Linked DNA regions of Caenorhabditis elegans. The protein of the gene in region 1 interacts with the protein of each later gene in a pairwise test. Each region holds a gene or a part of one and is shown on either strand. Other genes may lie near its edges. The genes, in order: npr-12, cat-4, ZC455.1 and phb-2.

Region 1 (8,661 bases):
GTTCAAAAATTCAAGACCCGTTTCCGTGTATGCATTGAATATTAAATTGCGTCGAAAGTGCTAGGATGTAAAAAGGAAGATTTTGAACATAATCCGCTTGAATTTATGGTTTCAAATAATACATTATTTTTTTGGTTTTTTGTATTTTTGAACTAAAAGTTCGTAATTCGAGATAACTTGTTTTTCGTGTACTTTGAGAGTTGGCAGGATCACTTTAAAAACAGTCACGCAGAGAGTTGTATACCTATAGATCCTAGATTGTCATCAAAATCAAACTGACATAAACAAAAGATCTTTGAATTCTAATATCTCGTTAACGTAAATTTTCCCACGTCACAGTGAAAGCAATAAAAAACACTTCAAATTTTCACACTCTTTCCAGAAAATGATAGTTGACACTAAAGCTACATTAGACATTCATAAGACATAAAATGCTAATTGGTTGTCCAAAAAAAAAAATTTAAAAAAAAAACGTCTAGGTCCGTTCAATGCAATGTCGGAAATCTTCAAATTGGAGTAGCGTCAATCCGGATATTTAAAAGGCCCGGAAAAGTCCGAAATGAATCTCGACTCGGATGATTCTTGTTATTCTAAATTTTTGAATTTCCTCCAAAATGCGACCAATCAGCATTTCTATCCTCCCACTTCTTGACCAAAAAACGGGAGTGGGTGGAGTTTTGCGCTGATTGGTCTAAAGTTTTTTGAAAGACACCCAAACTGCGAGATTAGCAACAATTTGGATGTTTTTTTTGTAATTTTCTAGATTTTTCCGAGATATCCAAATAAATGTTCATTGGCAGTGCCCCCCTTTAAATGTTATGTATATAAATAAATTTGAATGGAGGTCAGCTTCAAAAGTTCCAAAATCTGAGTGGTTTTGGATGAAGTCATGCATAACAGTTTAAAATTGAAATTCGAAAATCACATTAGGAAAAGAAAACTAAAGTGCTAAGTGAAAGCAATCTAAAATTCAAACGTATATGGATAGAATTTAAAATTGGACACTAAATTTTCAAATCAAAAAACATAATTTGGTTTGCTGAGAATTGGAATGGTTAGGTTATTCTTCTTCTTCTTGGAAGCCCCCCACACACAGAAAAACCAAAAATTTTGTCAAAACAAAAAAAAAACAACAAAACAAGAGACTCCATTCACCAGAGTTTCTGGAACCTTTTAGGCAGTCATTTCAATTTCACGCTTCAATGTTGATCTGGTCGGTTCTGAATCAATTAGAATTGGGAAAAAAGAACGCGGAGATAGGATGGAAGGGGAGGAAAAATGAAAAAAAGTAAGAAAAAGGAAGAGAGAGAAAGTGAATGAAATTTTAATGAAGAAATAGTCACAAGCAAGAAAGTTGTAAATGTTGAATACGTCAGGATCATGAAATTTGAACTTGAGTGCTACGAAGTTCAAAGGTTTATTATGCGCGTGAGTAAATTCAGTTTTTGAAACAGTAATATTTTTTCCTGAATTTTTGTGTTTTGAATCATTTATTGAAAACCATTAAATAAATATCTGAATAAACGGAAATAATTCTAGATTAAGAAAATAAAAAATAAAAACAGATTTTCTTCTATTTCCTTATATTGTTTTATTATTCACAACAGATTTTCACTATTTTTGAAAATATTTTCATTGAATTTTTAATTGAAGGCTTCTTCCTATAGACTTTTAGAACATCTCATTGAAAGGTCAGAAAATTAGAAATTGATACGAATACGTGTTCTTTAAGCTTTTTTATCCTTTCTCAACTTAAATGACGTCTTTAAACTTTTTTCCGAGACAAGAAATTCGTGATACACACGAGCCAGATCCCGAATTAAATTCGCGTCCAAGGAACCTCAAATCTAATTTTATTCAATTTAATTGATTCCAAAAAAGAATTGAATGCCGGAAACAAAATGATCTTGTATCTTTTCTTCTGACTCATAGATTTATAGATAGACAAGAATAGAAAAGTAGCGACGTCGGGGGAAACGGAGACGATGGGTCCAAGGTTTCTCCAATTTTTTTGTTGTTTTTTTTCTTGTTGAAAAACAAGTGTCGGATGACTAGTAGATGAGCTTGAAACTAGAATCATACAATGGGAAGTATATTAAAAATATATTAGAGCAAATAATTTGCTTTTGAGAAATTTTTATCCGACAAAAATATACTTCACAAAAAAAATTGTGACACTCGGCGAAGTTTATGATAAATGTAACAGGATAAGAAGATAAACTTAATGCTTAATCCTAAAAATTAGAATTTTTTTAAATTTCTGTACAAGCCTCCTAAAAAATATTTTTATGTGCCGAATAAAAAATAAGCTGTTCCAAAAAACACATTAAAATGGAGGTGGATGATGCTTCAAGATGAGGAACAAATTAGGGCTTCATACCCCCACGAATTTGTTATGAGAAATTATAATGAAATACATGATTAAAATTGAAAAAAAAAGAAAAATTAATATATTCTTGGCACAGATCAAATAAAAAACAATTGACCAAAAACGGGGCTCTTGGAGTTTGTGATTACTGTTCGCTTGAGATGAACTTGCGCATTAACTTTGATTTTTCTAATGTGAAGGTCTACAATTAGGATGATGCTCTTGATAAGCATCATTCCAAAAATCTTCCAAAAAATTCTTTGTAAAAGTGACAAAAATTGACGATTAGTGGTTGTTATTTGCTAACTTCAGCAAGAAATCTCGTGTTCCATTTGATTCGTAATCTATGATTCTAAATCTTTCGTTGCTTCTTTTATTCAATTCCTCTTTTTCAGACTCCATTACCCTAAAAAATCCCAGCGGGGTTTGATGAAGAGACTAAAAACCAAAAAAGAACAATGAAATCCAGATAAGAATTGATTGGAAGGTAAATTGAAATTGAAATATATTTTATTGTGTGCTCTTTTTTTCTTTCTTTTTTATACTCAAAGGTGAAGAGCAAATTGCAATTTCTCTTCCTGCTCATTCCCCCTTCAATTTTTATTTAATTTTACGACAAAATGCTCTCAAAAGGTCCGCGAAGAGCAGGAAGTCAAGAATAAAAATAGAAAATGTAGGAAGAGGCGAAGAGAAATGAATTAAATATTAAAAGAGTCTTCAAAAATTGAGAAGATTAATACTATTGGTATAAGCTTCAAACTATGGGGATCAATTTGTCATGGTAACTAATTAGAGATGCTTGGTACACCCTGGTACTTAAAAACATTTGAATAATAATCAGAAATTATGAAAAATGAATAATTTATTGACGCCAATTGGGAATATAAAAGCTACATTTCTAGAGTGATATTATTTAACTCTTCCGCGACCAAAAATGCCTATTTGTCAAACTTCTTGAAAATGTGTTGCATGAACTGAGATTACAAAAATGCGTAAGGCACAAAAATCAAAAGCTGGAGCCCACGCTAACATATGAGGAAACATTCAGTAGGCAATCATGAGACAGTCAAGTAGTACGTATACGTCTGAAAATGTTACTAATTTTTTTTTTAAACTATAATTTTTCACTTAAAATATCTAGTTTGCTCACAGAAAATGATGACCTGATATAAAATAAATTCTTATCGTCACAGCACTCTTTTGAAACAAAATGTAAAAAAAGAAGAAGAAACGAAGAATAGGAGTCGATTAGCTCTTCTCAATGAAGTACCTCCTTCGAGGTTAGGAATTTGTAAAATTGAATGGGTAAGGTGAATTTGAGTGTGTTTCAAAACATAGAATACACAGGAAATGGACAAGAATAGAGTAAGTAAATGGAGGTGGGTGGGCATACGGAAATGCCAAATAAGACTATTAAATTGTAGGTGGACTCTTGGAAATTTAGCAAAACATTTTGTGAATAAGTTGAGCTTCAAATACCTAAGAATAAACTAACTAAATGATCTGGTCCCAATCAAATATCTATTGATTGCGAGATTTCCAAATTGGCGAAATATTGTCCGCTTGATGGTACAACTGTGTGATGTTATCGCAAAGTTATCACTCTGATCTCGGTACAGTAAAAATTTACAGGTTTCAATCAAGCTTTCAACTTTAAATTCAAACGATTAGGTACAGTTTGACAGCAAGATGATGAAAACTAAAATCTCAAAGCCTTCGAAAAATCTGGTATTTATACGCTCGAAATTTCTACGAAAAAAAACCCATAAGGAACTGGAATTTCGATATGCCAACCGTATCCTAGATTCTTTGGAAATTACTTTTCTGTACAAAAATTAATTTCAAAAATGTCAAACCATTTGTGAATGTCAGTCGACATTTCGTCTAGATGCCAACATCCTGTTTGTACGAATTCAATTTTAAAATTCGCATAAATTTTTTGTTGAAGCACGGAATAATGAAAAGCTATTGAAGAAACATAGTGAGGAAAATCTTGTGCAATGGGAATGGGAAAAAGATGAAGTAGGCATGATAAAAATGTTGAAATAAGGAAAAGAAAAGGAAAAAACAAATCAGATTTGCATAAATGATCAGAAAAATGTATTGAAAATCGAATGTCGGTGTTTGTAAAAAATCAAGATAACATTTGGAAGATGTTTCTTAGAAAGCTTAAATACAAAAATATTAATGAAGCATGGCCCACTTGAACGTTTTTAAGAAGAATTGGTACCCACATCATCAAGAAAAATACGAACAATTCCATGAAACCATGAAAATATTCCTGGGATGACAGGGTTCGTGAGCCATATATTATTCAAAATTGTGGAGGACCATTCTGGTTTTTGTGTTTTCGATTCTTTTTTGCAATTTGCAGGAAAGGAAGTAAAGAACACTTTTTGACCAAAAAAGAAGAAGACCACTAAATGTTCATGTATCTAAAGTTACGTCTTAAAGTTGAAACAAAAACAGCATCGTTGTTCTGCAACGTTCCTTTGATTTGTACACAATTTGAAACAGTTTTATTTTAGTTTATGCTACTGTCTGAAACTTTCTGTCAGAAACATTTAAAAACAACTTACGTTTTGTGAACTGTCATTATAGTGATGTTGCTATAAAATCGGCCTACAGATTCTTTTTAGAAAGATTCCAGATGGTGTTTACCTGTAAAAACAATTAAGATCAGTTTTTAAAGAGTGGTAAATACAAGTAGTATAGAGATAAGGGAGTACAAAAAGTGTACAGATTGAAAAATGTGATTGAAAGTTTTTTGTAACAACATATCAAGCCGCTTAAAAGGTGACTAATTTTTTCTGCCAAATTCAATAACGTGTTCCAAAAAAACATAGAACAGCGCAAAAGTCGTAAAAGAATTAAGTAGACAATGAATGTGAAAAAAAATGTCAAGAGACTCGTGGAAACAGCTCCGGAATGAATATAGTAGTGGAATGAGGAAAGAATCGTGGATATATACTAGAGGAAGAAGGAAAATGTCGTTGCATAATAAATACACCTTTCGGCACATTTGTTTTTACAAGTAATACGACTTTTAAAGATGTTTTTTCTTTGCTGGAAATAGTCACTGCCAGGTGAGTTAGCAAGAAAAAGGGTTCAATATTTTCCTTTATTTTTTTTGTCCTGAAACGTTCGAATATCATAGTTTTAAAATTAGAGAATTATTTAAATTCTTTAAACTATAGCCAAAAAGTGGTGAAACTCAGTTGTCCTATTATAATGTTGGAAAATTACAAAAAAAGGTAATTATTTGGTAATTTTGGAGTATTATAAATATTTTTAAAACGAATCCTCACGGGCGGTACTCCAGCTTTATTCAATCAAAAACATCAAAATAGTTGTAGAAGTTTCAATCTTTTTTTATTGAAAAAAGTTTGAAATTCAAATATTTAATGATGGAAATTAGTTGATTGTTTTAGAAAAAAAATTCCAAGAAAACTGTCAGGCATCTTAAACTTTCCCAACAAAACAATTATAGTTTTATGTAATTTCTAGCATTCTTAAGAACTCACAACAAATCAAGAAAATTTTTTATTTCTCACCTAGTTTCAGAAAGTTTATTTTTGCAGAATATTGCAAGAAGTATTCAAAGAATTACTTCTAAGAAGGTCCATTTCTGAACAAATTGAGTAACGTCTCATTGCTTTTTGGTGGGCGGACGATGGGTTCTAATGTAATTACTGGGTTCACATCGTTTGCAATGAGCACCAGTCGTTAAAATCTTTTCCACTAAAGCTATCGAAAAAAAGTGAAGCCGGAACACGAGATTTTGGAAAAAAATAATGGATTTAGATGACCAATGGGAAAATACGAATTATGAGGTTTTGATGAGTTGAGGAGATTCAGGACACAAAATCAAATCAACATTGTTCGATAAATATTTTTGTGTTTATAAAAATAAGATGAAACAGTACATTTTTTTATTTTCTCAGCTTTAAAAGTGAATACAAAACTATCGATGGGCTAGAAGAGGTTCATTTCAGCACTCCGTTATTCGTTGCAAATTTGTAAATAAAAGAAGTTTGAATAGAATTTCAAAGTATTTTGGCAACTCTGAATCTTAAATCTCAAACATGCGTTCTTTGAAAATAATAAGCTGTTCATCTTCGGAACCAAACTAAATTATATTTTCAGGCTTGGCAATTAGTGTTTTCAAATTGAAAAAAAATAGAGGACGATTTTAAATTCAATTAACAATAATAATAAAATGTTATAAACAGGAATTGCACAGTAGATTCTCAAACAAAATGAGATATTCTTGATCAAGAACAAATTTGTAATATGATCACCGCGAACATTTTAAGTGCGTTTTTTTTTGTTCAATGGTTAGAATGTAATTATATATTCTTTTTTTCATGAGCATGTTCAAAAAACAAAAGTGAGCGAAATTCCGTATAATTAGATATATGATAGGCGAGAAAGTTGACCGATCATCATGGTTAGAAAAAATCAAAAAAATTCCTTAATTTCAAATTTTTGAAAGAAATGCTAGTTGAAATTTAATTAGGTACGAACTTATCTTTCCAACTTTTGATTTTTTGTTGAATTTTCATTTTGATATTTAACCTAGTACAAGTGTTTCAAAGTATTTGTGCAACTAGCGCTGACTTACGCCTAAATAATTGAATACCGTATTTCCTCTATTAGTAAGGCATGCAAAACTAATTTTCGGACACCTAATTTGATGCAAAACTAATAGAGGGTGCAAAACTAATTTTCGAACAGGTTTTTTCTCACGTTTTCCATTAAGTTATGGCATAATATCATCAATTACAGTAACAACTTATGAACCAAAATTGACGAATTTTACGACTGATACGCAAAAATTGTACGAGTTGTACTCATATTTTGCCAGTTTTGACTTTTTATACCAAGTCTGTAAAAGTTTTCCTAATTTTTAGAACGGTTTTATAATGCAAATTTTGAATTCCTAAAAATAGGGAACAAATGAAAGGGTGCAAAACTATTAGAGGTGCAAAACTAATAGAGGGTGCAAAACTAATTTTCGATTAGTGATTTTAGATGCAAAACTAATGGCGGTGCAAAACTATTATAATAGAGGTGCCTAACTAATAGAGGAAATACGGTATACATAATTCAAAAGTTCAAAAAAATGAGTTCAAGAAAATCAGATCTGGTATACTTTCCAAATTTCATCTGGATTAATAAAATGAATCATTTTATTTTCAGACACACACTCCTTCATTCATCTTTTGCAGACTTAAATAAGCTTTCAGTTGATCAGAAAAAATGCGACCAGTGATCTTCTGTGGTTTCCGATTGGTTCACTAAGCTAACCTATTCGATTAAAATAAATGAAAATTTAAAAGGAGATGGAGGGTAAGGGACCATAAATTGAAATGAAACAACAAATATTACGAATGAGTAAATATAATATACCACAACAATAAAAACATATTTTTAGATTTCATATATAGCCAATTGAGACTGAAAACTTCAGTCACAAAATGTTTTACCAATCTTTTGAAACAGTAAAAAAATTGAATATGAAAAACAACCCACAATAGATTATCTAACGCTTATAATGGATATGAGTATGTAGATAATTGAGTTTTATGTGATAAATACAAGAAAACGAGAAAATTTTTTTAATTTTCAAAAAAAAAACAGCTGAACTTGCATTGGAGTTAAATTGGTTTAGGAATGAATTTTTAGAAAAAAAACAAAAACAATTTTCTAACGGTGTGAGATTTGTTGTTACTTTGCTCAAAAATGTATTAAAGTGTTGTGACGAGACCGGTGATTTTTTGCCTGTAGCCAAAAATTGCAAAAATTGCAGAATGTCAAAAATATTTGAAAGCCGGAATATATAATTTTCCATTGGTTTTAACATGTTGCAAAAAAAAGGTTTATTATCCTGAAAAACTGAAATTTTAATCTTCAAAAAATTTGTTTAAGCCGGTGCTTTTTGAGTGCAAAACGCTCAAAAGCTACCTGATATCTTTACCGCCAATCATACGGACTCATAAAAAATGAAGATATTTTTTAGAAGAAATAAGTCTTCAAGTCTTCAAGATTTGGCTCATAAACCTCCCTTCAGAAGATTGACATTGTGACTGACAAGTTTTCTCTCTGAATGTCACTTGAAACTTGAGAATCTCTACCCTTTTTATCTCATTTTCTTCTTACTTGAAACTTTCGACAAAACAAAAAAAAAGTGTATCCTTGTTTTTTACTTCTGCTTTGAACATTTCTATGGAGGTCTCACTGACTTCAAAACACACTTTTTCGAGGAAATGATGGACTCCTGGGACTTCCTG
Region 2 (8,144 bases), on another chromosome or scaffold:
ATCATGAAATTTCGAAAATTTTATTGTGGCTAGGAAGAGTGTTCACTACAAATTTTTATGTGCACTTTTTTCAGATATTCATCGACCCCCGATTTACACTTGGCGACAGTTCTACTTTTTCGGATGTGTTCACAGTTCCTGCCAATGATGATTTGGATGCATTGAAACAAACTTTATCAGGTAGAAATGTGATTCCAGCTACACCTTTAGAAATTGCTACCAACAGGGTAAGTGCTCTAGAAAGCATTGTGCAAAAAAACTATTAGATTTTCAGAAACCTGGAGAATTTCGAGACTACGAAGCTCTTCAAAACAGATTGGAAATGATGCATGACGTTGTGGATGGAAGATTGGCTGGAAAATTAGTTGCAAAAACTGATGATTTTTGGCAAGTCGTCCGATCGTACAGTGGCCTCCAGGAACAACTTGCCAACGCGTTGCAATGTGTGATGGTTGTTCGAAAAAACTTGAAAAGAGTCGACGAACTAGTATGCGACCAGTCAAAAAAGATTGTAGAAGTTCATGAAAGATACGAACAAAAAAAGAAACTGCTGGCAAAACTTCATGATATTTCATGTCTCCGAGAAGCCCAATCAACAGTTCAAATGATGTTATCACAAGGAGATTACCCAAAGGCTATAGAATGCATTGAAACGAGTCTAGATGTTCTCTCAAAGGAATTGAACGGCGTCACTTGTTTCCGACATCTTGCATCACAGCTTCGAGAGCTTTATACAGTAATTGGACGTATGATGAATGAAGATTTTGCATCATTAATACAAAAAGAGCTCGGTGTGAAGCCAGAAGCTGGAACGATGATTCAAGCCGAAGGAGAACTTTCTGCTGTCCTACTTGGATTGATGAGAATGCGAAAGTACTCATTTATTGCAGTTTTAAGAGAGGAAATTATTGAAGGAGTCAAAAGTGTAATGCGACAAGTTATTAAAAATCAAATTCTAAATAATGGAGTTGATTTGAACGATTTTGATCCTAGTTTGACACAGTTGGGAGAGCCAGTACGAAGAATGAAACATGCTGATTTTTTGAAAACTGTGAAAGCTGTTATGGATGAAGAGTTCTACTTTTGTAAACGATTGGAAGCTCTACAAGATATTCTACTGGAAACTGTTGAACGAGCAAATCCTCTACATCGACATGGCTCTGAAGATATTATAGTTGAGAGAATCGAAGAAGCAAAAGATATTCACGAATCTGAGTCTGACGATGAAGTTGGTACAACTTTTTCCAAATCAGCTAGTTCAGGAGGATTCTCCGTCGGTGGTTCGGCTTTATCCTCTAACGCGTCAGCTACCACTCTTCTTTCGATTGAAGTCAGATCAGAAGCCTTTTTACGACACGTGCTCCCATTGATCGCAGAATTCGGTCATCAATGTGCGCAACAACGGATTTCACGATTGCTCATTGCTCGGGCCAAAAATGCATCAGTGACAGAAGCTACTACACCTACCCAACTATCTGAATGCATTAAACTCGTTAAAGAATTTCAATCCAAGTGTGACAAGGAAGGATGGTATTCCACTCAGAATCAAAAAGTTGGAGGTCTTGGAAGATCTGTTAACAAGCTTTCTATGGATTACATTGAAAAATTCCATGCAGCTCGAAAGATTCGTATTGGAAATATGCTTGACACAGAACTTTGGAAAGCGACTGATGTTTCGATTGTGGATCAGAACATTGTCGACATGGCGATGGAAACGGGCCAATTAAGAAACACAAAGCGAATAGATGATGGTCCAATAAAAAAATCATTCAAAAGAACAGAAAGCGCTGTGACAATTGATTCAACAACATCTACTTCAAATCAAATTCAAGGTGTAATTGTTGATGAAGAGAACTATGTTGTTGTTGGGTTTGTTTCAAATTTTGGATTTAGGATTACGAATATTAATATTTTAATTTCAGATCATCAATAACAATGATCCAGCTCCTTTCTGACTACTGTGAAGCCATATCTGAAATGCCATCATTTTCCCAAGACTGGAATTCGCGAGTTGTGGAATTACTGAAAACATTTAACAGTCGGTGTTGTCAATTGATTTTAGGTGCAGGTGCCCTACAATTGGTTGGATTAAAGACTATATCTGTTCGAAATTTAGGTATTGCTCTAAAGTTTTACCGTAAAAAGTGTTCTTTTTTCCAGCACTCGCAGGTCGATCACTCGAGTTAGTATGCCGCTTCATTCCGATGGTTCATGATGAGATGGACAGAGTTCTTCCTGAAAATCGAAAAAGTCTGCTTCGGTACTTCAAGCAGGTTGAAAGTGAATACCGCGATCACGTCAACGAAATTGCTGCCAAATTAATAAGTGTAATAGCTCATTATACAACAAATTGTCTTGGAATGTGGGATGTGAAAGGAGTGATTCCATCGCCAGAATTTCAACAAATTTGTCGCCATATGCTGAAATTCCACAATGGACTGGTTGGCATCATGCCAAGAGATCAGATCGAGGCGTTGTTCCGTCAAGTACACGAAAACTTTAAAGCCAACTTACGAGAACACGTCACTGGAATGGGTATCACACCTCATGACCCTTTAAAATACGGGTAAGAATAAATTACTGAAATTTCAACTATAATGTACTATTTTCAGATATGTCACAAAAGATTACATGTTTTATCAACAAAATGTGAAAAACATGGAAAGTTGCCGTAATTTGGAGCTCGAGTCGCTTAATGACATTATGTTTGAATAGGACTTTTCTTTGTAAAATATTTATTTAATTTTCAATCTGGTTTATTTCTTGTGTATGATTGTGATTGTTTGACTAATTACGGTGGCTTTTATTTCACGCTTCTTCTGTAAACTTCCCCAATTCACTGGTCCTTCATTCCTAATTTTTTAGTTTGTGCTTCTGGGCTAGCTTTATCACTTTCATTTCCCAGTTAATTGTTTTTGTTTTTATTTATCTGGTATTTAGTAATTTATTGCATGTACAATAAAAGCATATTACAGTATCCAGGCAATGAACATGTTGTATGAATTTAAAAAGCTGAAGCATAAGATGTTAGTAGATTCACATGGAAAGTTATGAAAAGTTAGTAACAGTTAAAACCCAAAAAAACAAGTAAAAAAGGAAATGACTAGAATTTTTAGCGTTTGTTGATAAGATTAAGGAATTCTTCGCGAGTCTTTGGATCGTCACGGAATACTCCCAACATGCAGGATGTTGTGGTGGAAGCATTGATCTTTTGAACTCCTCTCATTACCATACACATGTGACTAGCTTCAATAACAACTGCAACTCCGGATGGTTGTACAGCTTGAACCATTGCGGTGGCAATTTGCTTTGTAAGACGTTCTTGGACTGAAATATTTGAACGTTTAGGTTAGGTTCCAATCAAAAATGTAATTTCTCAATTTACCTTGAAGTCTTCTGCTGAACATCTCGACTATTCTTGCCAACTTGGACAGACCAAGAACCTTCTTGTTTGGAATGTATCCAATATGAACTTTTCCCATAAATGGAACTAAATGATGCTCACAAAGGGAGAACATTTCAATATCTTTCACAATAACCATCTCATCGTGATCCTCGTCGAATACTGCCTCGTTGAGGAGCTCTGAAAAATGAAACTTTGAGCTTTAACGTTGTATTGCTATAACTGACCATCAAGTTGATCATCGTATCCCTTTGTGAATGCCATCATTGCTTTGGCAGCACGTTCTGGAGTTTTCAGAAGTCCCTGACGATTGATGTCTTCTCCTGAATTCCCAAAATCAGTCAACGTGGGAAAATGTATTTTGTTTTCATTTTTTCCCTTATAATCAACGGACACAACCTATTTTTTTCTGATTTATGTTATAGATATATCAATTGAAATCACAAGTTCCTGATGATGTGCTAGGGTACCTTGATTGCGTGATGTAATAGATTACAATTTGTCATGAGTCTTTAAATTAAAACAATTTTCGATCTTGATTTTTGATTTGAGAGTGGAATATATTGAACTGAACTTCCTTCCAGACAATAACAACTATCAGTTATAGATCATCGACTTTCAAAACATCTTGGTCAAATTTATATTTGGGAAAATATTTATCAATATTCTTTGAGTCACTGATAATGAATAAATGCTAAAACATTATAATCTCTAGAATGAATCAAAAAGTGTGTTGAAATGTTTATCGAAACCAAAGTTTTCCTAATTCTGCTGACGTAAACAGTTGACAGTACGTTTTCAGAACTCTATAATCTATTCTTAAACAGCTTATTTTAAATTTGTTGTTGATCGACTAATACTTTCCGAACCAAAGAATCACATGAACTCACCGACATGTTGAATGATGCTCTGATAGGCATTGCACATTGATTTCAAATGATCTTCCTTTGGAATCGTTCCGTTTCTTTTCTTCATCTCAACTTTATCGTCTTCGGATCCAACACTTGCGGCGTCAGATGACAAAAATCCGCTTTCGTTCTCAATTCTGGACATTTTGATATTATGATGTTGATAGAGTGGGTAAAGCCTGAAAACATTGATTGAGTAAGTGAGTGAAATAAGGTGATATTGAAAATGAGCCGTGGGTAAATCTTAAGAAAGCTGAGAAAGCGTAGGCGACAAAAAGAAAGGATAGACATTCAAATAATTGCCGGATGAAACCGAATATGTGCAATGTCCAAGCAAGAAAGAAGAAATTACGAAAAAAAAAGGTACAACACGTCATGTATTATGAAAGGTATTCTGGGAAAAAATAGGCAAAATGAAGGGACAGAAGGAAATCAATCTAGTCGAATGGATAGACTTCATCATCTTTTCCCACTTATGTGAAAAAATGAGAAAAAAAGAATAAGAAAATAGCAAAAAATCGAAAAAGAAACGGAAGACGTCGTCCCATACATCAATCGTTTTCCGCCATTCCTTCATGGCAGCACTTCTAGGTATTCAGGAAAATGTGGAGGAAGAATAATTTATTTATGCAAACAAAAGGAACATGTAAAAAGAAAATGAAACCGATTGATTAGGTGGATAGGCGCAACAAGAAAAGAAAAAGTGGACTGGTCTGAGGAGATACAGAGAGAAGGATCGTAAATCAGCGAGGAATGATATAGACCTTCACTCACGTGGACTTCTAGTTCACTATCAGTTTTGTTGCCGAAACTTTGGCAGATTAATATCTACAAGTTACTCTTTCATGCACTACAATCGAAAAAATTGAGAAACTTTATATTCAAAACGAAATTTGGAATTTATCAAACTTCACATATATTTCTCACGAAATTCATCAAATGGTCCTCCTGGGAAGTTATTTAAAAACAATAATAGGATCACATGTGGTAGAATATACTCCTCCTATTTTTAAAACTCATCACACCTAATAATATTACTCATCGAAACAACCAATCTGAAAAATAAACTAGATTCTGGCAAAAAAATTACTAATGAGTTTAGTACAACACAGAAACCGTGTTAAACTCTCATATATACTGCCAACAGCCACAAAAATAAAATACAATTTCTAATATTTCACCATGTCAAAAAAGTAGGACCTCAAATTTGGGAACGATTTCATTCAACAGTTTCGGTTTTCAAAAATTGTAAAATTTTAACTACTTTCCTTTCTAAGTCATCATCAGGTGGAAAAATGAGAAAGTAAAGAAAGAAAATGAAAAGAATTGAGGGGTCTAAAGAAGTACACTCACTTTCTTCTATTCTTCTACTTAACTACCTACATAAGAATTTCGTTGAAACAGTTAAAGCTAGTAGAAAGATCAAACCCACGCCTTTTTTTTCCCGGCAGACTCGATGTGTTTTGATGACATTCACACGAAATGACGAGAACGGTTCCAAAATCAGCTGAAGATGAGGGAAGAGGCGTTTCGAACTTGTAAATGTTTTCCTAGTTTTCTAGTTCTTTTTCATCAGATATCGTTTCTTATATTTGCGATTTCTGGGCTGATTGGGTACAAGTTGGGAGGAGGTGATGACGAATGAAAACAAGAAAACTTGAAATACTATTTTGTTATGATCAGGATTTTTTGGGTTATTCGAAGTCTCTCATAACTTTTGGTTCTTCAGAGTTAGAGATTGAGAATCAAAAAGAACTATTTGAAAAAACTGAGCTATTGTCAATATTCTTGAAAAGTAAAAAATTAAAATCGAAAGTTGTTACTGAAAAGTACTGCCAAATAATACCGTAACACTCGTAGAGGAAGTTCCCCGCAATTTATTAGGTTGAACTATAAATAAGATAAGAGCATAAGCAAAATGCCGCCGCTAATGATGTACTACCAATTGAAGCCGCAATTTATATGGAGTTTATAATCATTGCATGATAAATTGGTTCAGGAACTTTGAATTGTCACCTTTGAGATAAGATCGTGCACAAAAGGAGTTTGCGGGATTAATTAAGTGACGGCGATTACGTCAGAAACATAGAGAACAAGTAACATAGAGAGTGTCCTAAGGAATACGGTTTTCTGACTGGTGATGATTTAGTGAACATCATCTTGCACAATTTTTTAGACTAGAATGTTCAATGGCGCGGTTGAAAGAGTCAATAGATTATGAACTGGATTATGTGATTTGGAATTATTTATTTTCCTGATAAGAATCACTTCAAACTTTTATTACCGCAAGTTTGACTTTATTAGACCAAACTCTACAGGCTTACCGTATATTCTCTATTAGTGCTGCACTAATTTTTGGGTTTTTTTTTTGAATGCATCACTTTTAAAAACTGCAGTACTACTTTAGAATGCAGAACTAATTTTCGAGCGCCTCTGTTCAATTGAAGGTCATTAGCATTTAGTTACGAAAGGTCACCTTTTTGAGCATAAATTAATTAAGATTGTGGGTTTTCGTATTTCAATTATGTATGTAAATAAACAACGAATCTTGTACAATTATACAAAACACTCAACAAAATGTCAAAAATATTTTGACTGTTGATATAAAAAGAGGTGCATTTCAGAAAAACCCCGTTAAAAGCATCATAAATTAATAATCATATATATTAGGAAAACAAATAAACAGAAAGTATCCATCTTCTTCTCTTTTCTTATAGAATAACGATAAACTTTATATTACTTTAAACAATGGTCAACTATGTCAATTTATGTTACAATTTCCATCTGCAACATGCAACCTTTACAAATTTTTTTGCTGTTAACTTTTATTCAATTATAAAAACCAACAAGCCAATAACCAACTAGAAAATAGAATAACATAATTTATATATATATATATGTATAAAACTTATATTCCCTCGTATTGACGTGCCGGTGGCATTGGTTCCACTCCGTAAGTTCTCTCCGGGCATGGACAATATCCAGCATCTAGGCCTGGCATTCCATTTTCTCCTTTTTGTCCCGCTGGTCCAATTGGACCTGTTTGACCTTCTTTTCCCTGCAATCCGGCTTCTCCGCGAGTTCCAGGTTTTCCATTTTCTCCATCAACTCCTGGGTGTCCATTGTTACCAGCGTTTCCCGTTTCACCGACTGGTCCAGTAGGTCCAGGGTGACCAGATCCTCTCTGTCCATTCTTTCCTGGCAAGCCGGGTTTTCCAGCAGCCCCTTGGTTTCCTGCACCTCCTTGATCTCCTGGTGCACCAACCTCTCCAGGAGCACCTGGATTTCCATCGGCGCCATTCTCTCCTGGTCGACCATTAATTCCAACTGGCCCAGAAACTCCATCGGGCCCTGGCGCTCCTGGGGGTCCTGGTGTGCATTGAGTACACGATGGGGTAGCATATGTATCAATTTGTGCATTTATTGACTTTCCTTCATTTCCATTTTGTCCTGCAACTCCTGGGCTCCCGTCCTCCCCATTTGTTCCAGCAGCTCCTGGTGGACCAGGAGGTCCCACCGGACAATTGTTTGCTTGGCTACAATTGCATTTCTGTTCAGTAGAACGTGCCAGACGAGAAAAATATGTTGGTTGTGAAGGAGGTGAATTGTTGATTTGATTTGACATCATTTCCCACGCGTCGGTTGAATAATACTGCAATAATACATTTAGTAAATAAATTTTGTGCTCTTCACGAAACATGTATATCTACGAAAGATTTCCAGCTAACAAAGATATAAATCTTCAAAATATAACAATTTTCGATCTAGATCTTTTGAGAATACAGCTGTTCTATAAATTGAATCTTAGTTGCACGCTCTATATTTTTGTAAAT
Region 3 (8,689 bases), on another chromosome or scaffold:
TGGTAGAGATTATCAGAAAATATGCACCTGTTTTTCATCTTGTTGGACTTTTTTTATTACAAAAAAACCAGACAGAATAGTTTAAATAATTGTAAAATAACCGTACTTCAAAATTGGTATTTATTTCAGAGAATATTATGCTCTAATTTTATTTATTTTAAATTTTTCCTCTTTAAGTTTTTACAGGTGTTATAGGACCTTGCTTTCTTTCAAGTTTTGAATGGCCATTTCGGTTTGACTGAAACTTGAGTCTAGAATTCCACATATTATACCGAGTATTATTAAACCACATCATCGATTTTTAATCCCAGAATTTACTTTATCAATTACAAGCCCTGTGGAAAAATCAGATACGTCACGCGAACACCTCGAACTACAGGTTACTGTAAAAAATTGAGAAGATGCTTTACTGAAAATCCAAAAATTAAAATAAAAATTTGGAGAGAAATTGACATGAATGAAAATTTGAGATCAAGTTCTGAACTTTATGATATCACAATTGAGAGTATATCAATAATAAAATGAAGTACTTCATAATGGTCAAGTGATTCAACTTGTGATTTGTGAAAAAGATTAATTAAAAGAAACTCAAAACCGTACTAAAAAATTCAACAATAATTGAACAATTGAAAAAGTTAACTTGAACCTTTAACTTACTTCGAACCCTTTGTTAACTGGTTATGTGAGTTTCAAGTTTAAAAATATTGCATTGCCGCTCAAAAACGTATAAATTAAAGATTTTTGAACTTCGGGGTTACTTATCTGGCACTCGTGATTGAATATGATTTCTGAGTGTAGTATCGACAGTAAAAAGAGAGATATAACATTTGTACCAAATACAAATAAAATCTTTTTTTTTTATTTGAGATGTTCTTTAAGTGTTCTATTACTAAGCATTGGACATTTGATCTACTGAAGATTCTCAAACATATAACAGTACTCACTTTATCGTCGTGGTCGTTGCTCTCCGGTTCAAGATATGTTAAGCTGGCTACTCTGTAAAAAGAAGTTTTTTTTTTAATTTATATAATTCAAATATCCAAACAAATTTCATTTGAAAAAAACTGAAGCGTGGGAAACGAAAGCAAACTTGAAACTGTGATCGTCTTGGCGCGTATTTCAAACGAACAACCGCCTAATAGCTGAGAGGGATTATTACACGGGTTGCTCGGGCGGCAAGAGAAGAAGTGCTCTACCGACGGGCTCCAGCCCCTGTTTGCTCCGCCGCCACCACGCAAGAAAGCGCCACGCATTTCTCACTATCATACCAAACTAATAGGCACACATTGGTAGAGGAGGGGGTGTATGGAAAAATGTCTGGGCGAGCTATGAAATGATGTTGGAATCTAGAGTTTGTTGAAAAAATTGGCCTAGTTTGGAGAGCGAGTTCACTATTTTCAAACACTTGTTAGATTAATATGTTTAAGTGGGTCATGAGACATTGCATAGTTATGACGAATTATGTAAGTGTTCTAGAATTTTTTTTATTGCTGCCTCAATATGACTCCAAACGAGCAAATGTAATAATGGGATTTTCTGAAAATGTGCTGAACATATTTTGAGGTGGTTCCAATTGACAAAAAAAAACAAGCAGCTAAAAAATAAGCTAAAACTTTGAATTTTACCAACTTGTTCGTATAGCAAAATATGTGAGTTTTGAATAAAAATTAAACTTTGGCTGCTGTGAGACGGAAAAGTAGTCAAGTTTGGTGACTTTAGTTTAAAAAAATGTCTAAATCTACTTCTCCTTTAACTAACTTTTTGAAATTTTTCGAACTGGAAGTCTGGCACACAACAACCTTCTGTGTAAAGTGAGAAACTCGAAAAAAGCTCTAGAAAAACAGATGACGCGAATATAGATTTTAAATTAAGCCTACGCTTTAAAAGTCTCCGCAAAGTAGGGGGCCCTATGTGGAATGCATATTTTAAGAATTATCATATGGTCTCGAGACATGTTCTAGCGCGGGATCTAAAATTAAAATCTATGAATATCTGAAAGTATCAATTATCTGAAAACATTCTTCCTCTATATTTGTGGACCACTTGACATTCACCCTCAATTCAAGTGATCATCGGCATCCCACGCTTGTCTTTGTTTATACGCGTGTTTTCTGTACTTGCTCCGTTTCTTTCATCTCTCCTCTTTTACACTGTATATCTTTCAAAAAATGTCATTCGTACAAAACACAGTGTTCCACATCGTTTACGCTTATCCTCTCGGAAATATCTTTCTTCGTAGTTTGACTCACCCCAGATCAAGCAAACCGACACTTCGTGGACGTTCTCTTCGTTTACTGCGTATCTTCTTCGAGATGTTCGAGTCAGATCCTTCTTGACGCTGAAGAAGAGGTGGCAGTGCTAATCGGGGCTCTGGTCGAAGAACAACGTGAGGAGTTTGATGATATTGTTTTGAATCCTAAACGGTTTTTATTGATGATCAAGACACGAAAGATCAATTGAAGAGGCTTTTAAAGAGGTTTTGGTCGGTGTGTATAAGAGAATAGGTTAGCTTTAGAAGTTCCGAACATTCTTTGAATTTATTGTTTAGTTGTTTAGCTGATCTGTGTACAAACCTATTTCTGCGAAAAAAAAGTGTTTTTAAATTTAATGGGGATTTACAATCTTACGTTTCTAAAAATTTTGTATATTTATTTTGGAATCAAAATTACGATTTTAATTAGACAAATTTAGGAATCTAAGTCAATTTATAAAATTTCAGTATGCCTTTCGGAGGCTTCAAAAAATTTTTGTTATCATATCGAAATAATAAACCTAAAAAATAAATAAATAATTAGAAAAATAATTTAGGAAATTATTAAAGATTACTTTCATTTATTTAAAATCAAAACAAAAATTTGCCAGACTATGAATCAATTTAAAAATCTTTCGTCTGAAAATTTGCACTAACTTCAGTTTAAAACCTGGTACACAATATGGTTTTCAACTTTAACTAAATAATTAAATTAGTTAAATATACCTGCGATGTCAATGAAGATGGCCTGGCATATGGACTAAATGCCGAATGCTCGGACATTGGAAGACCACTGTTATTACTGTTATTGTTGATTATTGTGGTAGTTGCACTTCGAGGAGTGTTTGACATCCTGAACAAATACATTAATTCAAAGATATCAAATTTCATATTCACACATTTTCACAAAATACATCTGAACTGTTTCTTCTACAATCCCTTTCAACAGGAGTTGAATATAAGGTAGGAATACGAGTAGAAGAAAACAAAAAAATAACAGTAATCAACAAGAAGCCGAACAAGCAATGAGCAAAGGCAAGCCGCTGAGGAGCAAATGAATAGAAGAAAGTTCACAAAAAACTGGATGCTTGACACAAAGCTTTCCACACAGAGAATGAACGATCTTCTCGTCTCGGAAAGGCATTTCTCTGCGTTTCTAACTACAGAACAATATTATTTTTGAAAAAAAGTCTCCTTGTAAGGAATAGGTACTGGTTTTTGATGCGCATTTTATGTTAGAAGTGAATGGAAAATGTGTCAAAATCTTGACATAAGTAACTACATAATATCCATGCAAAGAGGAATTTGAAAAAAAACTTGAAACTCAGAGATTTTGTCTTAAAACAGAAATAAAAGTAAATGTCAGCTTACGCTATTTTTGAATAGTGCTGTAAACTTTTGAAGCTCTTCAAATCAGGTTACTGAATTTTCAGTCGAAATTGCAAATAATTTTTTTTGTTTGTTTTCTATATTTTCTACAGATTTCTAAGTTTCATTTGATAAGTTTCCAAAATTCTCTGGGAAAAAACGAAAAATATTTAACTTACATATTCTTATTCTATTCATTACTAAGTTTGTCTCGGCAAATTTCCACATCCAACAATTTTTTGAAGAAAATTCCCGAAACTATTGATATTTTTCTTTAAAAAAAACTAAGAAAATAAAATTAAATTGCGCTTATCCTAAATTTCAAACAAAATAACGTACTAAATTTTTGGTTTCTTGTGTTATTTTGTGTTCGTTCAAATGTTTCTAAGTCGGTTTTTATATCAATTTTCAGAATTCGCAGTGCTTGGAAATCCATCGAAAAAGAAGATTTATCAAATTTTCTGAACGACCAAAATTGACACTATTGTAGATACAAATTTTCTAAAAACGATTAATTTTATAAAAAAAATGTTACCCAGGTATATGTATTTTAAAATACTCTTTTGATTTTTAACTTTCTTTGAAAAAAATGAACAAAAAATAAAATTCAAAAGCTCTACTCATAACCGCAATCAAATTGCTTCACGTCATGCTTGATAGAGGACACAAAAGCGGAAATGATAAAGTCATAATGTGTGGAGAATCTGGCAAGAGCACTAGACTGCGCAATCCGTATCACAATTGGATCGGATATCACGTCAAACCAAGGCAAATCAAACGTTCTCTCATTTCCGGCGTCTCTCGATTTTGCGAAATATCCATTTCTCGATCTTTATTATTAAATAGGAGAAAGTTCTCGAGCAAACGAGACAGGTAAATAGAGATAAAAAGACAAGATTATCATTTTCAATTAACGGCTATACATTGCTTGAACATACCTGCTAAAACTACTATTATTGTTGCTGAATGACGTGGCGATTGGTGGGAGATTTGAAAATATTCGTTCCGGTGCCACGTAGATGGCCGCTGGCTCGTGAGCAGATATATCGCATCTGAAATATTTTCAAGTGATTCTCTTACTATAATTCGATTGTTTTTTTTTCAAATTCAAAAATTCGTAACATGGAGCTTTTGAGAATTTGTTTAATATTTTCAATTTAGAATTTAATATTACTTTCTAAAAAACCTCCGAATCTACATATAAGTTTACAAATCTTATTGAAATGCTTTATTGTATTCTGTCTTCTAGTGTTAGTACAATTAGTTTCTTAATCTTCTTACCTACAAACGGAGCATCTCCTTGAGCCACGAACTTCTGCCACAAACAGGGAACATGACATTGTGGATTAGATGTTTTCTTGTCACTTCTTCTACTTATTTCTTGTATTTGTACTTCAACTTCTTGTACTTTTGTGTTTGTTGTGACCTATTTTGACTAGAGTCTAGAGACAATAAATACAGAAAATATTCTAGAATAGAAAAAGAAGAAAAAGAGAAAGCATGACTGGAAGTGGACGAGAGAGAATGATGTATTATCAATACGTGAAAGAGCTTGGGTTGGAGCACTTGAGACTCCTTTCCGCGCGGAAACAAAAAAACTTAGAGGTATTAGATCAAGAGCCATGAGCACAGAAGGCAGAGCAAAAGAGCAAGAGTCGCAGATGATTGTTCAAAATCAAAATCAGCAGAAACAGTAACACAAAAACCATAAATGAAACAAGCATTTGTCCATGGCATGTTTATGAGCACGGACACAAAACCGCGTCAGAGTTAGCCACAGATTTGCACCGGAGAGAAAGGCCAGCATGAAAGGTAATCTGTCGGGTAAATAGTGTGATTCTCTCGTTTTCATGTGTTGGCAGAACAAAATGAGCATGTTTAGCAGAGGGAAAAGGGCAAATTTTATTGAATGAAATTTCAGATCATATTCTAAGCCGGAATATTTAACATTTTAATGAACTGCCATTTGTGAGGATTTTACTTCAGAAACATTTCCACTAGGACTGGAGTTGTCCTGAATAACTTTTCCCAATGCCAATAATCAAAACTGCATCCCTAAATTTAGATAGTTTAAAATATGAAGATATTTCAAAAAGAAACATGCAGAAAATTTATTATCAAAGCAAAAATTATTGATCGCCACAGTTTAACACATATTAAGTATAAACTTTGAAAACCAGGCAGTGTTAAAATATATAAATTCTTTAAACTGTTGAAAAAGTTATATTGGATAGATTCACAGAGTTAAATTGAAAATTGGCCAAGAAAGAAGATACCACTGTTTTGAGAAACGTGATAAAGTCAAAAAAAGGTAAAAATTAGATTGGGAAGAACGCTCAAAATTACACAGTTAAAACCATTTTCATTATTTTAGTAAACTTTTAATTCTACAGAAACTTTTGCGAAATATTTCCAAAATATCTCAGTCGCTAATGCATCTTATATGATCTTCCCATTATCCCTAAACGATTCGTTTTTGGTCTCACTGAAGTTGTAAACAACACTCAAGTACCAAAGAAAGTGAGTCACAAGGTTGAGTATATAATGATCTGTTTTTGTAATTATGACCATACCCTAATTAAAAAAAACATTTTCTCAACAGTTTCTAAATGATAGTGTTCAAATTAAAAGTGGTGAATATCTAACTACTAAACATTACAAAACTTTTGAATTTTTTTAAATTTACAGTCAAAAAGTGGAAATTTCTCACGGTAACTATCATTTTGGAACTCAACCAAAAATTTTAAATTAATCGATCATTATAGAGTCTCAAACCAGCAGCGATTCTCAAAATTGCTAAAGAAGTCCAATTTTTCAAAATCTTGGTACTTTTCCAAAACTGACTGAAAGTTTGAATTTTTTTGAAATGGAGCGTTGAAAATTTGGTCAAATTGGATTATATGAATTAAAAGAGTTTTAAAACAAAATCCCTTTTTACCATAAAAGTGAGGAACAAAAATCTAATTTTCCAAGAATTTTAGAGTGACTAAATGATAATAAAAATGAAAAAATAGGTAATCGATAGTTAAGTGAGAAATTGCGCGGTTTCTCTGGTTATCATTGTGGTAAAGTTCTCCTTACTTTTCATCTCTAGAGCTCTCGGCGTCTCACACATTTCTCCCACTATTTTTCACAAAAACGCGCGACTTCAACTACTCGTGTATTCAAAAACCAACACAGATGTTGAACATACCACAGACAGGATATAGGTACTGTAGAGTAAAGGCGTCAAAGATAATACTGTGTAGAAATGAGCGAGACGCAGCATGTCATGGCTCTTGACTGCTCGTCACAGCTTTCTCAAACTTCAATGACTATCGTGTTAGACCAGGTTGCGGAGAAAAGATTTTCAAACTGTTTCGTGTATTTAGACCAGTATATGAAAATTTTACTATTAGATTAGATTTATCCTGTTATATTTGCGATAAATGGTTTCTTTACAAGGGGATTAACGGTTCTGCTTTTTTGCTTATACACAAAATTGACCCAAAGCGCCGAATTTCTGCAACTTTTCCGTGTAGCCGAGTCTGAAAATTGATTTTTATTCAAAAACTGTTTCTTCTTGCATTGGTAATTTATCTTACATGCTTTGTTGATATAACTACAGTTCTAGTTAATTATAAAAATTTGATTATTTATCTGCAGAAACTATAAAAACCAACAGAAAAACGCCAGTTGACAAAATTTTAAATTTCAGCCGATTCAGCACATAAAAATTTAATTTTTTACATGTTATATCAAAATATTTTTAATGTGTATTTTATGAATTCCTTTAGGAATTTGGTAAACCTATCGATAAGTTTTTATATTTTTTTAATACCAGAGAAGCAAATAATTGTGAGAAAATCCTGCAAGCTGGGAGACCAAACTGCAGACGTGAAACATTTTGATCTTTATTTACAATTTGCACAGAGAGATCGATTGATAGTAAGATTATGAGATTGGGTAGGCTTAGAAGTTTTACACTTCTATGGGAATATAATAAAATATAATACGAATCTGTTGGAAAGGGGAGGTTAATTGGTGGTTGGAGGCATTCCAGTATGCCGCATGTTAGAAGTTGAAGAGATATCATGGATTCTCTGGAAATATACATATATTATTAAAAGCATAACTCTATTTCTGCAAATCACAAAAAAGCAAGGTTGCTTAGGCAAACATATCTTGAGTTTTTGATACTACACAATTATGAAAACGTTTGGATAGATAAATATAAATTAATAAGGTTTTATAGTATGACAAGAAATTTTGATTTCATATCTACGGGCATAAATTACCAATACGAGTTGTATCTTGATTCTATAAAAAGTTACTTTTTGAAGTATTCATATTGGAAAAGGAAGTTGCATTGTTTACCTTATTTGTTTTCTTCAATTTGAGAAATTTCAAAAACTCTGTTCGAATGGTTTTGTTCATTGTGAGATAGATGATAGCTGGACATCCATGAACAATTGACCAACACAGTTCTGCAATCGCAATCACCCATGGAGCAGGAACTGTGAACATCAAAGCATTATATGACATTGCAGAGAATGTGTTGAAAGAACAAATAATGCTTGATTGGATGAATACTTGACGTGATGCTTTTGATTTCTGTCCCCTTTGCATTTTGTTGATGAGGACGCAATAAATGGCGTAGAGGGTGCACGTGCCAGAGCAGAAGATCCAATTGTTTGTTGATTGGACATGGTTACGGTACTAAATAGGAAAGAGGAAGTTATTTGAATTTGCAAGTCTTGTAATGAATTATCTATTCGAAAGAGATATTCAGCAAGTAAAAAAAAAGGAAATAATCATCTTAAATATCTTACCCAGTCGGTAATCTCATCGGTTTTGTATTCTGGATCAATTGTCAATGGATCTGCAATCCATGCCATTATGGCCGAATTGAATATGATAGATGGAGAAAACATGGAAACCAAAGTTCCATATGTGTAGATCAGAGCAATGGAGAAGAATACACGTTTTCCGTCAAATAGAAATTCGGACACAGGACGACAGAGAACGTCAAAAACACGGTTTATTACAAGAAGAAGTGTTGATCCACACGCCATGCACCATCCACCTGGA
Region 4 (7,832 bases), on another chromosome or scaffold:
GAGATTTATTATTACGTCATCTAAAGTTCAAAATGGCTTTAAGAAGTTAGGATACTCGATCATAAAATGTTCTTATTAGGTGACACACATTTAGAATAATGAGTCCGATCATATATAGTCAGATATTCTCTTAGTTTTCCTCATGTTTCCATCAACTTTAGTGAAATTTTCCGAAGAAATCAAATCTGAGCCCCTGAAATTTCCATCAGAAACTGTTTCAGTACATTTTTTGCTGAATTCGGTATTGTTAGATTTTATTTTTTTAAATCTTTACAGATCATTTTTCCAAATAGTATGAGATTGTTTTTCTGGAACTCCAAATATTCAATCCTCAGGCTATGCATAGATTTCTAGGTTTGCTAGAGTTGATTGAGAAGTTGCGGCGAATTGTCGAGATTTCAGACCAATTATTAATTTTTCATTCAATACCGAAAAGTCTACGCAGCTTTTCAGTTTTTCTAGAAATTACAAGATCCATTGTTGTGGACTTGTATGTTCATCTAAAAAGACAATGTCAGCCACAGTCGGTCCATTCTATATATCCAATTTATCTACTAAAGGAACTCGTTTTTTTATTTATCTTTTGCTTTTCTTTTTTGCTTCGTCCTTTTTCAAAAGGCTTTTCCTTTCCTGTGGCGGCGGCGGCGGGCGGCCAAAACATCTGTGGCGTCGTGCCCTCGTCGATTGCGCAATGCTTCATCTTCATATCCTCTCAGCTTTTTCTTCATCTTCTGGAGACGGGTTTAGCGGTGTCGCGCCGTTTCGTCACGTTGTGTCGTCAGGGTGTCATGACTCGAGAGAGAAAATGAAAGAGGAAGGCATGTAATTGTTTGTGATGGGATATGCAATTGCCAATCAAAAAGGTTAGCGCCTTGAAAGTGAAAGATGTCTCACCGGAATAACCGCTTCATCTATGTATTCCGTTTATTCAAACTATTTCAAACAAAACAATTGCGAAGGTCATGACCATCAAACTCTTCATCATTGTAATTCAATTGAAATTAAGAAAATTGAAACGAAACTCCCAAACCACAATCAACTAGTAGTGTTCTTGGCAAGTGTGACCATAAAGATGTACAACACCTAGTATATTCTTAATTAACAATCACGGCATCTTTCCCCTTGTCTTTCAAAGCAGCTTCACACCAGTCTCTGTGTCGCCTAGATTATACTAGAAATTACACATTTTGCCCACGCACCGTTACAGAGAGAGAGGCCCGTCGACCTTTTCCAGTGTTCCTCTCCCTCCGCCTTCTCTCTTCCAAAATCTTCTTCACCAGCTTCTCCCGCTCCACGTCTTGGCCACGCCCCATTCGGCTTTAGTTAGCAGTGCTGGGCTGCCCACTAAGATCCGGTCTTGCTAGTCTATACCTTCTTACCTTTCCATTTTCTCTCTATCTACCATTATTATGATCTACCGATTTGTGGCAACTGTTGCCATATTGGCAGCCAACGGTGAGCTCTAAGTTCTATTATAGGTTAATGTAGAAAGTTTAGTTTCAACCCATAGTTTCAGTTATCCACTGAAAACACGAATATATTGCATTTCTAGTACCACTACCATTTTCAAAATTTGAAAATTATATATTGTCTTTCTGTTCCGCACCCCATCACTCAAACTTGAAAGTTTTTTTTCCGTTAGACTTGAAAATATCCGTAATCTTTCTAGAATGAAACTAGAATAACAGATAATGAATTTATGTCAGTTGACAGATTTAAAAAATTCTGATATAGCTGCCACATGGTGCAAGACTCATAGTTAAATACGGTAGCATATTTCCCAAAAACATTACCATCATAATTGTCAAGAAAATATTCAGTTTGAAACTTAAAAAAAACGTTTTTTAAAATTTAATTTCAGCTCACTGTCAATACTATCAATGGCCAGAACAACATCAACAATTTAATAATTTCAACGGATTCCCGCAATTCCAACAGCAACAGTTTCAACAACCACAGCAGTTCCAGCAGCAACCACAATTCCAGCAACAACAACAAAATTATCAGCAATTCCTAGCTCAACAACAGTACCAACCACAATTCCAAGCTCAGCAACAGCCTCAGCAACCACAATATTTCCAACCACAGCAACAGCAGCAGCCTGTACAGTACCAACAACAGCAACCACAGCAACCACTTCAATATCAGCAGCAACCACAACCAGCTCCACCACCAATCTACTCACAAACTGTTGTTATCCCACAAGCTCCACCCCCACCACCAGAGGCTTATCAGCAACAACAATATGGTCCATCTCAGCAGAATCCAGTAATGGTTCAACCAGCCGATATCCCAAGATATCATCAGAAGCCTCAGCCAGTTCCACAAGTACCAGATGTTGCATTCCAACATGTGAATACTGCTAGAAGTGTTCAACAAGTCGATTTTGATAATAAATTGTTCCGAGAGCAACCAAATTCATTCACTCAAAACCAAGAAAAGGTAATTATGGCACAAAATTGATTTTATGCACCAAGTCAAAAAAGTTTCCTCCAAACTTTAATTTAATTTTGTTTAAAACTATTATTTTGCCAAACAGGATGTTTTGGATATGATTGAGAAGTTCGAACCATTAGTTCAAAACCTGGAAATCAAAAAATACGACACCAACTATCCCTCCTTATTCACAGATTTTCATTAAGTTAAAAAAGTTTATTTCAAATGTTCTTTGTTGATTCCTCTGATTCCCTTATTTATCTTATGTTGCAGATCACTCTGCTCGCCCAACCACCACCACCTCCGGCACCTCCAGCACAGACTCAGGCACCACTTGTACGTGCATGTTTCAATATTTCATCTATATCACTCACTTCACTGTCCTTGTCGATCCTCATCATTTTCAGATCCGTGTCCCTCCGCCGCCAGCCAGATTCATTCCAACTTTAAAATCTCTGTACAGTATTGATCCTCCACGTCCAAAGGTCCTTATTTTAGTTTTGTGATTTCATTTCTTTAACCAATTGTAACCATTCTCCAGAATCCATCTTACAAACCCGATGAAATTATTGTCGATGGTCATCGATCTTATTTTGAGGATACACAAAGAACAAGACCACAGGTATTATTTTATTTTAATTTCCTTAATTTTTATTATCCTTTTGTCGTTCTCGTCCATATTAATCATGTCAAATGTTACAGTTTTCAATTAAAATAATAATAACAGTAATCATCGGATTTTTCAATTTTTAGTCTACCAAGACCCGTGTTCAATCAGTAGGAGGAAGCGTTCATTCAAGTTCTGCCAATATTCCACGAACATCTCAACCAGCCGCTGTTGTATCTCCACCACAACAACGTACATTTGTCAGACCAAATGAGGTAAAAATAGTTGTTCTAGATGCAAAGTTTTGCGATTTTGCGTCAAAATTACGATACCCGGTCTCGACGCGGCAAGAATTTTTTGAATGCGAAAAGGTGCGCGCCTTTAAAGATTACTGTAATTTCAAACTTTCGTTGCTGCGGAATTTTCATATCAAGACTCATATCGTAATTCGACAAAAATATTTTTGTTTATCAAAAAAATACTATAAAATTTTAAAAAATACTATAAACAATGGATGAAAATTCCGCATCAATGAAAACTTGAAGTTACAGTACTACTTAAAGGTGCACACCTATTTGCATTTAATTAAAAATTTGTCGTGTCGAGACCGGATACCGTATTTTTGGCGCCATTATGTAATAATAAGAGTTTATAAAAGCTCTAACTAATTTACAGCAATTCCAACAACCCCGTGTCGTTCGTCCACAACCACAGCAGCAATTGACACGTCCAGCTCCAGCTCGGCCGCAAACTAGAAGACCTGTTCCACAGCCACAACAAGGTGAGTATCTAGATGTGAAAACTCATACAGATGAAACTTCATGTAAATTTTTTTCAACTCTAATTTCAATTTCAGCAACACGACCAGCTCCTCGTCCAGTTGCTCCAAAGAGCCATTTGGCACAACAACCTGCTCCAGTGACTGCTCCAGTTGCCAAGCCAAGAGTAAGATTACACCTCTTAATTGAAATCTGAATTTTAAATTTTCAGACTGCCAGTGCAAAATTCCTCCAGTGCTGCAAGGGACGTAAGGTGCATAATTCTTGCGAACGAATTTGTAGTTTTGATGTTCTTTCGAAGAAAGTTCTAACTGGAATGTTCCTTGGAACTGATGCATGCCCACAACATCACGGTCTAGATCTGATGCAGTGTGCTGCTGATAATGATGATCACACTGCATGCTGTATTGATCGAGAAGTTGATAAAACGTCTGCTGGAAAGAAATGCCTTGGATTCTGTAACATGAAACCGGGAATTACATTCCAGGTAATTATAATGAAATTATCTTTGTTAATTAATTATTTAAGGCTGATGTATCGATGCTTCCATGCTGGTCTGTCCTCAACGATATCAAGCAATGTTTCAAGGAGAATTTGGAACGACAACTTGCTGCCCTTTAATACTAATACAATTGAAACTGAGCTCTCTTCAAAATGCCAACCCCCACTTCAATCTAGTCCTTGCCATGTTAAATTATTACTCCGCCTTCCAATTTATCTTTTTTCTAATTGAACCGGTGTTGTACAATTTTTTGGTTATCAGATTGGTTTCATTTGAATTGGACTTGATTGTCACTCTGGTAACCAAAAACGTTAAATGTAACATACCTAGCGAAAAAGTGAAATGTATTGAAAATAGAAAACTATTAAAAAGAATGAAGAAAATTCATGATGATTCTCTTTTCTATTAATTATTCGAAACAAAACAATAACAAATTGATGGGTTGAAAGAAAAACTAAACTACTATTTTAAACAAAAAGAGAGGGATAATGCTAAACGGGAAATTTTTAAAAAAACATGATTACAGTTTCCAATTACTCATCAATGCGGGTAAGATCAGATTCAGGAATGACTTAATTAGCGTCTTTTGTCGGTCACATTCAAATAGTCGGTGTCGGCAATATTCAACATCAATCCTCCTGTTGGGAGATAAGTCTTGTTTCCAGACTCAGACACGATACGAGCAATTTTTTGAGCAGCACGGATTTTTCTAAGCTTCAAAAATCCTGGATCGTTCTTCATGGCCTCTCCCAAAAGTTTTGCAGACTCAGCTTCTCCTTCAGCTTGAACGATCTTCTCTTGCTTCTGTTGCTTAGCACGTTCAACATAGAAGGTTGCTCTTTGTGCTTCCTGTGCGGCAACTTGCTTAGCTTCCACAGCTGCAGAGTATTGTGGAGAGAAAGCGAGCTCGGTGAGGGAAACATCATCGAGGATAATGTTGAAGTCAAGAGCCCGCTCGATCAATGTTTTGCGAACCAACATAGAAACCTATAAAAACCATTTTAAACGAGGTGAAACTCAGCCAGATCATAACCCATAATTTTCTAAAAATTTAAATAGCTGATTTACCTGTTGGCGTTGAGTGATAAGTTGTGAAGCATTGAATTTGGCGACAACTCCTTTAAGAACTTCATTGCAAATCGATGGAAGAACACGCTCTTCCCAGTTTTGTCCGAGAGTTCTGTAGATATGAACGAGATGTTCAGGATTTGGTCGAGAGAGAACACGGAGTCCAATGTTGACCATTTGCAAGTCTTTCGATCCAGTTGGAGAGCGAATCTACAATTTGAATTATGACTGATTATCAGATGAATACTTTTTCGCAGGAATACTTTTAAAAATAAGTGTTTAAATTTTCAAAACCGCCACTATGAAAATTGTATACGTACCTGGTTTGGTCTGGCACGGATATCATAGATGATTGGATATTGGAACCATGGGATTCTGAAGTGAAGTCCTTCCTTGTACAAATCCGTCGACAATCCTCCAATTCTGTTGAACATGATAGCTCGGTGTCCAGCTTCCACTGAAAACAATTAATTTGATCGTTATACTTAATATAAATAATTACCAGTGAACATTGACTGGGCGACACCGTAAACGGCGGCTCCGGCAGCAGCCACGAGTCCTAGACCAACTCCAGCTCCTCTAGCATTTTGAATAGCCTTCTTCATTGCTTCTTGCCCTTGTTTCGCCATTTTGCTGCAAAATAGACACATTATGATGACTCAAAAGAAATATGATGCAAAAATCGTTTCAAAAGAGAACAAGGTTAAATTCATGAGTTGATTAGCATGATAACAATAAGAATGAGCATATCAATATGCGTAAATTTTTAATTTAAAAGAAATTCGGCTTTGAATTATCAAAATATTCAATTTGGATATCATTATCTTACTTATTTTAAAAACGAAATTTGAATTATGCGGCATTGAAACCGTTTTTGTGCCGCATTGCTACCATATAAAAAGTAAACATGGAAAATACAAATATCTCGAATATAACCAACATTCATTAGATAAAAATCATTTTCAGAGCATAAAAAACAAAGAAAAAGCGACTTGAGAAAGAAGAGAAATACGCAGGGAAACAGACGCTCTGAGACCTACTCAGGAAATACCATGCGCCTTTAGTTCGTTGAAGAGGCAATGCAAGACGCAGAGAGGCGCAGACACAATGTACGCGGTAATTCAAAAACAGTAGTTTCGCCAGCAAAATTTGTTGTAGACATAGAGTACCGATATCGGCCGATAACTGAATTACAAGCGTTTACAGACAAATATTTTTATTTTTTTTATCAAAGAAGACTACAAGAAAACAAAAAAAAATACAACCATGGGAGTAATCACCATCATATCACATTCGAACTTTTAATAAATTAAAATCCCAAAGCATTGGCAAACATGAGAAAAAGATTGAACAAGTATTTAGAAACGAGTAAAAAATATCCCGTTGGAAGAGAATGCTCCAAATGATAATATAATTTTCAAAAAATTTAAAGCTCGGTCTTTATCTCTGACTCGTTTTCTACTTTCGACTCGTTTGCTTTCTTCGTGCTTTTCTTTTCCTTCTTCTTGTCTTGTTCGGCTTTTTTCTTCTCTGCTTCTTCTACAATGGTGTCGATATCAATTTTTCCGTCTTTGGCAAGATCGTCCAATGTTGTGATCTTCTTCATTTTCTTCATGAATCGATCTACTTCACGGTTCAGATTTTTGGTCTGAAAAATAAAATGATTAATTAGTATTCGTGTTTGTAGTTCATCTCAATGTACCTTGGTGTCAATATCTTTTCCAGTGAAGTTGAAATCATCTGTTTTCTTCTTCAAATCTAGGTGTTTCCGAACATCTGTGACCCAAATTTTCAGTTTGTCCAATTTAGATTTCAAACCGTCACGGTCTTCCTGAAAAAAATATTGCTACACGAATTTAGATATATTCTGTACCTTTTTGAATAGTGCCTTCTCCTCGTCAACATTGTTACCCAAAGTGGTCAATGAGAAAGTGGTTTCCAGAAGAGTCTCCAAGCTCTTCAACTTCTCTGGAACTGCCTTGTCGTGTTCTTGTCTCTTTTTCACACTCCGTACAACATTCTTCAATTCGAGCAAATTATCTGTGAAATCCTTCGTTGGTGTATCTTTCGTCACATCGTCTTCGAGCCAAGCACGAATTCTTTTCACAGAATCTTCCAATTTTGTTTTCTCCTCATCAGCCATGTAATCAGTGAACTCAGTTTCTTCGAGATATTGTGAACATTCAAAATTGAAAGATTCCAATTCATTTTCCACCGCAGCTCTCTCGGATGCAAGTCGTTCTTTTTCAGCAAATGCTTCCATTCTACGTTTTTCTTCTTGAACATCATATTTATTTGGAACGAATGCAGATGGATATTTGTTGGTAATGCGCAAGCGAACAATTGATGGAAGTTCCTTTTTCTTTTCTTTCACTTCGGTTGCATTACCGGAAGAAGCATTTTTCTCAGTTTCATTTGTTTTTGGACTTTCTTCAGATGT

The links.
Region 2: the proteins of npr-12 (region 1) and cat-4 interact in a two-hybrid assay, tested with the Caenorhabditis elegans proteins (one large-scale study listed by BioGRID).
Region 3: the proteins of npr-12 (region 1) and ZC455.1 interact in a two-hybrid assay, tested with the Caenorhabditis elegans proteins (one large-scale study listed by BioGRID).
Region 4: the proteins of npr-12 (region 1) and phb-2 interact in a two-hybrid assay, tested with the Caenorhabditis elegans proteins (one large-scale study listed by BioGRID).

Annotation. Positions count from the first base shown.
Region 1 is NC_003282.8:6,932,685-6,941,345, forward strand, and holds the start of npr-12 (G-protein coupled receptors family 1 profile domain-containing protein), read right to left. Parts: upstream 4,965-8,661; coding exon 4,948-4,964; intron 2,377-4,947; exon of another isoform or gene 2,356-2,376; intron 1-2,355.
Region 2 is NC_003283.11:10,561,226-10,569,369, reverse strand, and holds cat-4 (GTP cyclohydrolase 1), read right to left. Parts: upstream 4,491-8,144; 5' UTR 4,457-4,490; coding exon 4,294-4,456; intron 3,727-4,293; coding exon 3,631-3,726; intron 3,584-3,630; coding exon 3,386-3,583; intron 3,328-3,385; coding exon 3,113-3,327; 3' UTR 2,931-3,112; downstream 1-2,930. Other genes in the region: vps-54 (Vacuolar protein sorting-associated protein 54), read left to right, coding at 75-227, 275-1,869, 1,923-2,116, 2,161-2,566, 2,613-2,715; col-152 (Nematode cuticle collagen N-terminal domain-containing protein), read right to left, coding at 7,220-7,963. UniProt on the Caenorhabditis elegans protein: Involved in serotonin and dopamine biosynthesis that affects movement, mating behavior, foraging behavior, and cell migration.
Region 3 is NC_003283.11:12,769,792-12,778,480, reverse strand, and holds the start of ZC455.1 (LIM domain protein), read right to left. Parts: upstream 4,960-8,689; coding exon 4,901-4,959; intron 4,674-4,900; exon of another isoform or gene 4,672-4,673; coding exon 4,558-4,671; intron 4,485-4,557; exon of another isoform or gene 4,353-4,484; intron 3,111-4,352; exon of another isoform or gene 3,105-3,110; coding exon 2,978-3,104; intron 2,417-2,977; coding exon 2,250-2,416; intron 1,238-2,249; exon of another isoform or gene 1,109-1,237; intron 997-1,108; coding exon 945-996; intron 1-944. Other genes in the region: srt-43 (Serpentine Receptor, class T), read right to left, coding at 7,636-7,701, 7,976-8,317, 8,431-8,684.
Region 4 is NC_003280.10:6,249,604-6,257,435, reverse strand, and holds phb-2 (Mitochondrial prohibitin complex protein 2), read right to left. Parts: upstream 6,026-7,832; 5' UTR 6,022-6,025; coding exon 5,895-6,021; intron 5,850-5,894; coding exon 5,713-5,849; intron 5,603-5,712; coding exon 5,393-5,602; intron 5,312-5,392; coding exon 4,901-5,311; 3' UTR 4,656-4,900; downstream 1-4,655. Other genes in the region: dbd-5 (uncharacterized protein), read left to right, coding at 1,410-1,455, 1,862-2,442, 2,710-2,772, 2,844-2,921, 2,978-3,058, 3,190-3,318, 3,719-3,824, 3,900-3,988 and 2 more; T24H7.2 (Hypoxia up-regulated protein 1), read right to left, coding at 6,819-7,040, 7,095-7,223, 7,266-7,832. UniProt on the Caenorhabditis elegans protein: PHB proteins are essential during embryonic development and are required for somatic and germline differentiation in the larval gonad. A deficiency in PHB proteins results in altered mitochondrial biogenesis in body wall muscle cells.